3 linked regions of the Xenopus tropicalis genome follow. The protein of the gene in region 1 purifies or fractionates together with the protein of each later gene. This does not show direct contact. Links are inferred from orthologs where the notes say so. Each region holds a gene or a part of one and is shown in the gene's direction. Other genes may lie near its edges.

Region 1 (2,597 bases):
TCTAATTTGTTTACCTGCTACCTGTGTTGAAGTATCAGTCTACCCTGTAGTGATATTAGAAAGTTAGGGCCCAAGAATGTAGGAAAGGGGCTAGACAAGGTAAAGTGGGCAGAGATACGTAGATACTGGAACAGCATGTAACAGGCATAGAAGCAGGACAATGTCAGACATAGAACTAGACTTTAAAGAAGCAGTATACACCTATAATATAAACCTTTTTTTTACATAAGCAAAATAAATAGAATTTATGCTGAGAATTCATTCTGCCTATTGTTGAATTCTCATAGTTTATTTTTAGTACAAATTAGTAATTAGCAATAAGTATCTCCAAGTCCTATTTGTTAAATTAATGTTGATCAATGAAATATACTGTCCCTTTAAATAGAGAAACTCAGCCCTGATTGTCTAGCTCTAAACAGCAAATAAGGCTTCCTGGGATTTTTAACACACATTGGGGAAGACTGGTGATAAGCTGTAATTGACCAGGGACCTTTTGCTAACCTAACCTGGTGTTTTGGAAAGGCATCCTGCAGCCAGGTGGTCTGTCAAATCCCAGCATAGCAATAACCCAATTAACAGGTTTTGCCATCTTTATTACAGCTTTATTTACAAACTCAGAAAAGACTCACTATCCACTTCAAATGGTATCTTTTTAGGGTGCATTCAGCGGCTGGAAAGTCATTTTAAATGTTGACCAAACAAAGGAACCTGGTTTCAAACGTTTGCTTCAGTCAGGAGGTGCAAAGGTAGGCTGTGGTGTTGTTTCCTTTATTGAATTAAAGAACAAAATAGCAACTGATAATTTATTTGGTAGACATTGTTTAAAGCCCCTGCAGAACATAATTATTCATGGTAATATATACGGGCAAAAATGGTTAGTACAAAAAAATGTACAGTTCTTCAACTTTTATTTTACGTGCTCATTGCACTCCAAATGACTAATTGCTGGTGCCAGGAGCCCTGCAGCAGCTTCATTCCTTGTGTAATGGAAGCATTCTTTGGTGTGGAGCAGAACTTTGGCTGCTGCCCCAAGTGTCAGCATTAGTCTCAAAATGACATATATGCCATAGCCCCAAGGCATCTACCTGTAATTATTTTTCATTTGCAAAAGCTGGTAAGACCGGGAACAGATTAAAATGCACCTATGTTTGAGAGGAGATATATGTTTTAGTAAAAATGTACTAATATGGTGAAATGTAATGTGGATTACATTATGGCAAAACAGTGGCACGGGAGGATTTTACCTACTGCACTATTTATGCATCCAGTTTTCCGTATAATGGGTTTCCAAATAATAGATTACCATACCTGTAATGTTAAAGTAACAATTTTTGTTTTTAATCTGGTAGAACTTCCAAATTGTTATCAAACTGTATTCATGCTTGGAGGCATGCAGCAATGTGATCAGCTTGTGATCACTTGTTTCCTAGTTAATCTTTTAGTTAATCTTTTAGTGTCAGACATTAGTAGTGGTTACACATCTTTTTTAGCCGTGTCCCCCCAAAATCATACCTCATCTCCTCTCTGAACATATTTTTAGCTCTGTTCTCTTCATATGGCTTGCTCCTCCCTGGTTCATCCTCCCTCAGTTTTCAAACATTTTTCCCCACCCTGCACTGTTCTCCTTCAGCTGCCACACATATAGTCCCGTCCCTCCACCATCCTCCTTGCATCATCCACCAATACCTTTCACTATCATTCCATCTAATGTGTCCTGTCTTCCTAGGGCCATCCCTCTTCATCTATCTGAAAAGCAATTGGCTAAGGTGTAAGATGGGGATTGTGCTGTAGTCAACTGTCATAAGACATGGAGGAGGGCTAGTGCCAGCCAGAGAATTGGGTGGCTGAAGGAGGGTGGCGGGTGCAAGGATGGCAGTGCAGGACAAACTTAATAATACTGACAGCGAATGGGACATGGCAGATGGAGGTGAAACAAGAATTGTGTGTGACAGCTGAAAGAGGAGGCATGAGGGAGAAAACTTGAGAGCAGTTGATGGAACAGGGATGAGGCAGTACATGTCACAGATAAGAGTTGATGGTGCAGGGTGGACCAACCAGGCAGGAGCAAGTTATATAGGGTTGGTAAAACTGGAAATATATGCAGAGCAGAAATATGAGGGGACTTTGGGGAAGTCGGCATAAACGTGTAGGTACAGTAGAGTTTGACAGTGACAGTGGAAGGGCACACAAAAAGATTGTTATAAGGTACCCTAAAACAAACACAGACTCTTTACACCTTAAGCTAGAGATAATTAAGGACTGGGAAAAAGAAAATCAAGAGTCAGAGACCTTATGAAATGTGCCTGTGTGTGAGAAGCAGTCCATGTGTTCTTGCATCCTGATGTGATTAGGGATGTATCAAATATATCATTTTTGTATGTATATTTATAGGTATTTGCTGGCCATTCTTCTGCTCTGTTTAAAGAAGCCAACCACCTCTTTGCTGACTTCAGCAAACTGAAACCTGATGAGCCCAAGGTGAATGTGGCCGAGGCTGCAGCACAAGGAGTAAACTGCCTAAAGCCAGAGTATATTGCCGACTACCTCATGAAGGTTTGTTTAGTGTATAAATTGCAGTCGCAGCTGAATCACATTTT
Region 2 (3,662 bases), on another chromosome or scaffold:
ATGCTTTTAGGACAGCTCTATTGGCACATCCTAATGAGAGCCTGCCCAGGGGTTGTAGGAGCTGTTATTGCATGTGTCATTTCACGATGATAGATCTTTCTGAATTGACCTATGGGTCTAATTGAAAAATTGGGGAAGACGTTAAAGACATTTGTGGGTGTTTAATGTTTTTCTTTTCCTTTTTTTTTTTTGCTTTCATTAATTAACCGGTTTTAAATTAAGTCTACCCAAATTGTTGCCCAAAGAAAAGCCTAAGTGCCCCGTCACATCGGCCATTTTCCACCACCTAACATCAGTGTGTACTGTGCTTGACATGGCCCTAATACTACGTTTTTTTAAATTTTTTATTAAAGACCAAAAACAAACGCTGTAAGTTGCTTCCACTGGTGTTGGCAGCTCCTCTGGATGCGGAGAAGGGGACGGTGATCATGGTGGGGATTCCCCCTGAAGCAGAGAGCTCAGACAAGAAGAAGTAAGTCATTATTGTGGTTTCCTTTCTTTAAAATTGTAATTCTGAAAGAAAAAATTATTGAATAATGTGTGTGTGTGTGTGTGTGTGTGTACAGTATATACAATTAAAGAAAATGTGCCTGCACTTGTCTCCAAACGTTCTATATGTTTGGCACGAACCAGCATTCTCAAGTATAAAAACAATAAAATGTCTTTATTTCACATGTCACTTGTGTCCAATGTTTTGGGCCACATTTGGACCTTCCTTGATTTAATATTTGAGAGTGCTGGTCCGTGTGTGTGTGTGTACAGCACTCGACAGGTCTTGTGCTAACAAAAGTAATTTAGATTTTACTTCACAAACCCAAGAATTTTTCTTAAGTTGTTTTAGACTCTGCTTAGTATTAATTTTTTTTTTTTTCTTTTGCCGTCATGCTGCAGTTTTTTTGGACGAGCATTTGAGAAAGCAGCGGAGAGCACCAGTTCTCGGACGCTCCACAACCATTTTGACATGTCCAGTAAGTAACTGGTTGCTTTTTACAACTGCAACATTATGAGTTTTAAAAACTTAAACCAGTAACATTAAATAGAGCTCTCTGAAAGACTTTTTCATTGAAATACATTAACTGTTGGATGTAGATGCATGTGCAAACCCACCATCTGATCCGACTTGCATTACAGCTGTGGGGATCAGATTTTGTTGATCCTACAAAATCTTGTGCTGTTGCTTGGTCTTGCATGGGTCAAATATAACCAAATCTGACCAAAATCTCCTTTTGTAGTTTAGTCTTAATCCTTTAGATCGGCATGAATAGCATTGGATACGGTTTATTTCCCTGTGTAAGAACTAAACCCACTGTATTCTATGCAATTTATCTGTTCTCTGCTGTGTAAAACTGGAGCCTTTTTGCCCTGTTCAGCTTGAATGGCTACCTCCATGGCTGTACAACAGCTAATATTTTTTTAAACTATAGCAGTGTTTCTGAATCTCACACCTTTTAACAGTGCAGGATAACAGGACATCATAATGAATGCATATAAATCACTTAATTTGTTGGTGTTACCATTCCTTTAAGATTTCCTTGAAGCTTAAACTTAATTTTTTGGGTTCTTTCCTTTTGTACTAAGACCGTAGTTGTGCACAGTAGCTGGCTACCTCCGGCACAAAGGAGTTCTAATGAGGTCAGCCTACAGGAATTCTGACCTCTGTCCCTTTTGATATATTGGAGTGTTTGGAATGTTGCCAGCCAAGACTATTACTCTATAGGTACTTGGTAGGGAGGAAAAAAAGGTTGGCTTCCTGTATTGTGCCTAGGAGCATTCACTGACTCACGTTCACTAATCTCATAATAATGCCTGCATTACAGTAAACATCCTACCTGTGCCTTGCATATTGCCATACAAAGTGTGTGCTTGATATGCAATGTATGTCTAAACTTCTATTTATATTTTCTGTGTATTAAGTAATTGAGTTAAGGACAGAGGACCGCAGCAAGTTCCTGGATGCGCTTATCTCTCTGTTGTCATGAGGTATGTAAAAGGAAAGGTGTTGCTTTACTAGTCCATATATGCAGTATGCATTGAACATTTTGCATTGATAAAGTGATAATCTTTAGTCTTTAGTATCATGGGTCCAGTTAATAAAGAGTTTAGCAGTTTATCAAGTATCCCAAGAAAATTAGGCATTGTATTAATTAGGTGGTACTGGGACTGAAATTCGTGTGAGCTAGTGCTGTCAGTGTCTGGGGTTAATACAACCTTGCACTGTTCTGTGTACAAGTAAAAGCAATTAGTGAAGAGGAGTTTTTCCAAATTCATAGGTGAGGCAGGTCTGGATTGTTGGATAATGTTGCTTAAAGGGGCAGTATACCAGTTTTTCAGCATGAGTGCAATAAATGTGACTTGTGCTTAACATACTTTTTTACCTATAGTTTTAATCACAAAAAAATCTATGGCTTCTCATATTTATTGCGATGAACTTGGGATATTGAAGCTGCTCCATGTTTCTACCTTGCAAGGTAGACAAATATATTTCCAGGCAGATTTCCAAGCAGAAGTCCAATGTGAGGGGGATTATCTGTGCATTATTCATCATAAGCGCTATTCAATGCACTCATGTAGAACAAGTGGTATCCTGCCTTGTGTAATCTAATTCAGTCTGATTTCATATCTGCTCACACATAACATATGGCACTTGGGCTAAAGTTGTTTTCATTTTTGTTCTCACTTATTCATTATTATAGTTGAAGGAATACTGTCATGGGAAAACATGGTTGTTTCAAAACCCATCGGTTAACAGAGCTTCTGCAGCAGAATTCTGCATTGAAATACATTTTACAAACTTTTTTTTTTTAATTAATTTTGAAATGTCACATGGGGCTAGCCTTGGTCTTCATATACCAGGGTGCCACAGCCACATGATCTGTGCTTTGATAAACTTATAGGAATAAGGTAGTTTTCCCCTTTACTTCAGTGACTGACTCAATATAAAGCAATTGGCCATTTCTGGGGGGCTTATACTTTAAAGCTATATTGTTTGTATTAACTTTTTTTTTCCTGTCATTTCAGTAACCCATGGCTATTTTCACCTGCCTCTTCTCAAGATCTCTTACTGACTTTTGTAAATGTGCATTTTAGTCTCCCATTTTAAAGTGTCTTTTAAAAAAATATATATGTACTGACTAAATTATTTAGCTGAATGTATTAAGCCCAGTGTAATAACATGTTTGTATCTAAAACTGTAAATAAAAATTAAATTTCTATTGTAAAATTTGATGTCTATTAAGTATTTGGGTAATTACAGAATGAGTGAATGTTAGCAGTGTACATTTAAGGAGCAATACATTTTTGTTGCTCAGAGAAAGCATGTTGGCTGTTCCAGGAATTCCTTTTTAAAGACTATTGATGCCTTTATAAATCCGGTGTCTTGTGTAACCACAAACCATGTGGACCACTTTGGTTTTAAAGGTATAAGAATTCTTTCAGGCAACAAAATCGAACTGCCTTACTCCTGGTACTGGAGAGTGTTTCATCCTGACATTTCATGTGCAGTGGCTGAAACTGCCAAACAGGCACAGGTGACATGGCTTTGACTGTATATGACTAGCAGTGAAACACTTAAAGCAGAGTTAATGCAGTATTTATTTGGGGGGGGTAATTGGGGGAGCCATAGGTACTTGAACGTTTTCTGTTTTAACTAAGTTTGTGGTAAC
Region 3 (3,469 bases), on another chromosome or scaffold:
AGGATATCAAAATGGAGCAATGATCCAAACAAGGCAAAAATGCAAGCAGAGTTAGTACACCTTTTTAAAGCTTGGGATGCCCCATAACACTTACTGTTTATAATTTATTTATATTAATATATATTATATTTATAATGACCCACCAAAAACAGATACATTTTGTTTTAAATAATTATTGGCCAGTGTATACACACATTTGCAACCTAAGCATTACAAAGACTATATGAAAAGAATATTTGTGTTATTTCAATTACTCAACAAATGCCTGTCAGAATTACATTTGATTCTTCTGTCTATTTTCTTTCAGGTTCTATTCCTCATGAAGTGCCTCAGATACTAATTAATAGGGAACCATTGCCTCATTTACACTTCGATATAGAACTGCTTGGAGATTGTGATGTAATTATAAACGAGTTATGTCAAAGACTAGATGGGAAATACTCCCAGCTTTGTACCAATTCCTTAAAACTTTCACAAATCACAGAAAAGCCCCCTCGAATACACAAAGGTTTCCTTACCTCACCAGAGACTGTCCCATCTACAGACTTAAACACAGGGCAAAGTCCAGCACTACAAAGCGACCTGCGTGGAACAGACTTACAGCTAAGTGCTTCTAATACAATGCGCTCATTGGAAAAACCCGAGGAAGCCTCCAAGCTTTCACACAACTGTAGTGAGGAAAATCTAGAAGTGTCGAAGGAAGCTAACACACAGCTCAGCAATGAGAAAGATCAAGAAACAGCTGAGAAAGATACTGACATTGATTCAGCCAAGGATTTGGAAAGTAAATATACAAAAGAACAGATCAGCAAGCGCCTAGACAGTAAGTATATTACTTGTGTGCAGTGCCGTAGTGGTTGAAAAGTCCATCAAATTTACCCTTTTTGTCTAAAGGAAACTGCTAGTGGGGCAAAAGGAAAACCAAAAAATCTGTGACACGAATGCAAGTTTGCATCAGCAGGGTAAAAAAAAATTGTTCCTGACTTAAAAAAAAAAAAAAAAAAATCAACCTGGTACCTATATTGACTTTGTACTAAAAGTTAATTCCGGTAACCGTGTAATTTTTTTGACTCGCTAAATGGCATCTACAACTGGTTCAGAGAGATAATTCCCCAACTACACAGCTTTTATAATACATGCTTTAAATTCCCAAGTATTATGGCACCTATTAAGGTACAACAGTAATCGCCAGTAAGAAAAAAAAAAACTATACAAACATTGCCGTTTCAATATCAGTACCACATATTAAATTGGTTTGAATCAGGCAGGTTTATACATGTATCAATATAAGAGTAGTTTCATTAAACAGGATGCATGGAAAAGAGAACTCAAGTTGTAGCCCTAATTTATATATATATCAGGGTAGAACCCAGGGTCATTGTCATTGAATTTGTACTGAAAAGAGAACCCTTTGTATAGCACTGTAGAACATGTTGCCGCTTCATGTGTTGAACCACACTTGAACCACAGGCACAAAAAGAGCTTTGGCAACTTACTGTCTCCCTTTGCATTAAGTAACAGAAAAATCATTGCAAAAAGTACAAAGAATCTGTATTCCCTAAAGTAACATTTACAGTTCTGCAAAGTAGTACTACATAAGGCTAATATAACACACATGGTCCTTAAGCTGGCCATACATGTTTAGATTTTAGTCTTCCGACAAACATTCGGATATCGATCTCATGTTTAAATGCAACAATCTAAAACTAACATTCCGATTGAAATTGTAGGATAAAATACAAAAAAATAACACAGCGGAGGGTGTTCCAACCATGAAATAGTTGGCAGGCAGTATGAAAGTGTAGGTTCCCCAAGGATATCGGCAGATACACAATACAACCTTTCCAATTTACTAAACGTCCAATCACCATGGTACGAAAATTATCGGGATGATAATTTGGAGCCCACACACAGTCTGAAAACCGTCCGAAACTATGTTTTGTACAATTATATCGGTGCATTTATGGTCAGCTTAAAGCTGAGGGCACACAGAGCGTTTCAGGCTGAGAGAAGCAGGCCCACTTCCTTCTGCAGCTCTATTCGTCTAATCTTAAAAGAACAGCTTTTGCTTGTGTGCAGGAACTTTGAAATCAGGCATTTTCAAGTCGACCTCCACTGAATGCAAGCAGGATCTATACTTTTAAGTGCAGATCACTGGGGTGCAGAAGGGAGTGGATCTGCTTCTCAGCCTGAAAAAAAAAAACGGGCCGACAGCACTCTATGTGCCCTAGCTTATATGGCACTACGATGAAATACTATTATGTGGAGATCTTAGCACACTTGCTGCTTAAGCACCATCATGCCCACCCCATCACATGGTAAAGGTGTCCAGGATGCACATTATCCACAGGATATCAAATTGGATTGTTTTTGTTGGACCCCTGTTTGTTATATATAATTGTAAAGTGTTTGCTGGCGGCTTATAATTTAAAATGGTTATGTAAAATACATGTATGTGTTAACAGTATTTTTCTATTCTTTGTCTTCAGGCACGCAGTTTTTATTTTTAGCGCCAAATCGCTATATTTTTCACGGCGCAGAAGTGTTTTCGGATTCAGATGAAGATCTGACATCTAGTTCCTGTGGAACAAACAGCGACAGCGAATCTTTACTAAGCCCAAGCCTGCATGAGCCTATCGAAGAGGATAGTGATACTGAAGAATGCTTCCATGCTAAATATGAGAATGAGACTGATACAGATAACAGGGCAGACTTAGAAAGAGAACCCGAGAGGGTTGTACTGTATCAAAGTGATGATCTTCTAGGAATCGATGGTACTACCATGAACTTATAGTATTCCCAATGCCTTCAATCCCACCGACCACCAGCATTAGGACTTCCAAACTGGACATACATGCATGCCAGTTTGTGGGCTCAATACAGCATGCATTGCAAGTATGTTATTAAAAACAAAACCCACTTGGCATTTTTTTTGTTTCTTTTTTAAGGAAATGTATATTTACACTAGAACCTGGTGTAATTATTTTTGTACACATTCATCCTGTACTTCCTGTATTCTTTTCATTGTTTTGGGAAGCATAAATATACTGGTGATATAATTTATAAATACATTTTTTTAATTGAAATATTCTCAAACAAGAGAAAACTGGTTTGTCTTAAAGGAGCAGCTACCATAGGCCAAAGACAAGGTTTTTTTGTCATTTTCGAATATATATATATATATATATATATATATATATATATATATAAATACATAATAATTTTTTTTTTCATTTCCATTTTCTAATCCTCTCCTGTTATGCTTTCATTACACTAGTTATTTCTGAGGTTTTTTTCTACACTTAGTGTAATTATTATTGGGGAAAAAAAACTATTCATGAAAATATAACTACAAGTTTCCTATATTTCTGCCTTTTTAATAGACTGATATATTTACTGGGATAACAGCAGTACAAAAAACAAAAAAAAAGGAAAATACTATTCTGTATAAATGTTTATTTCTTCATTA

Evidence for each region.
Region 2: the proteins of topbp1 (region 1) and cdc45 purify together in Homo sapiens (affinity purification with western blotting; 3 studies listed by BioGRID and IntAct, with this or other methods). This does not show direct contact. The link is inferred for Xenopus tropicalis from reciprocal best matches to the Homo sapiens genes TOPBP1 and CDC45.
Region 3: the proteins of topbp1 (region 1) and sirt1 purify together in Homo sapiens (affinity purification with western blotting; 3 studies listed by BioGRID, with this or other methods). This does not show direct contact. The link is inferred for Xenopus tropicalis from reciprocal best matches to the Homo sapiens genes TOPBP1 and SIRT1.

Annotation. Positions count from the first base shown.
Region 1 is NC_030682.2:52,618,429-52,621,025, forward strand, and holds part of topbp1 (DNA topoisomerase 2-binding protein 1), read left to right. Parts: intron 1-656; coding exon 657-746; intron 747-2,391; coding exon 2,392-2,553; intron 2,554-2,597. UniProt on the Homo sapiens protein: Scaffold protein that acts as a key protein-protein adapter in DNA replication and DNA repair. Composed of multiple BRCT domains, which specifically recognize and bind phosphorylated proteins, bringing proteins together into functional combinations.
Region 2 is NC_030677.2:154,245,108-154,248,769, forward strand, and holds the end of cdc45 (cell division control protein 45 homolog), read left to right. Parts: intron 1-353; coding exon 354-472; intron 473-891; coding exon 892-968; intron 969-1,914; coding exon 1,915-1,979; 3' UTR 1,980-1,980; intron 1,981-3,018; 3' UTR 3,019-3,220; downstream 3,221-3,662. UniProt on the Homo sapiens protein: Required for initiation of chromosomal DNA replication. Core component of CDC45-MCM-GINS (CMG) helicase, the molecular machine that unwinds template DNA during replication, and around which the replisome is built.
Region 3 is NC_030683.2:38,251,069-38,254,537, forward strand, and holds the end of sirt1 (NAD-dependent protein deacetylase sirtuin-1), read left to right. Parts: intron 1-307; coding exon 308-823; intron 824-2,489; coding exon 2,490-2,794; 3' UTR 2,795-2,924; downstream 2,925-3,469. UniProt on the Homo sapiens protein: NAD-dependent protein deacetylase that links transcriptional regulation directly to intracellular energetics and participates in the coordination of several separated cellular functions such as cell cycle, response to DNA damage, metabolism, apoptosis and autophagy.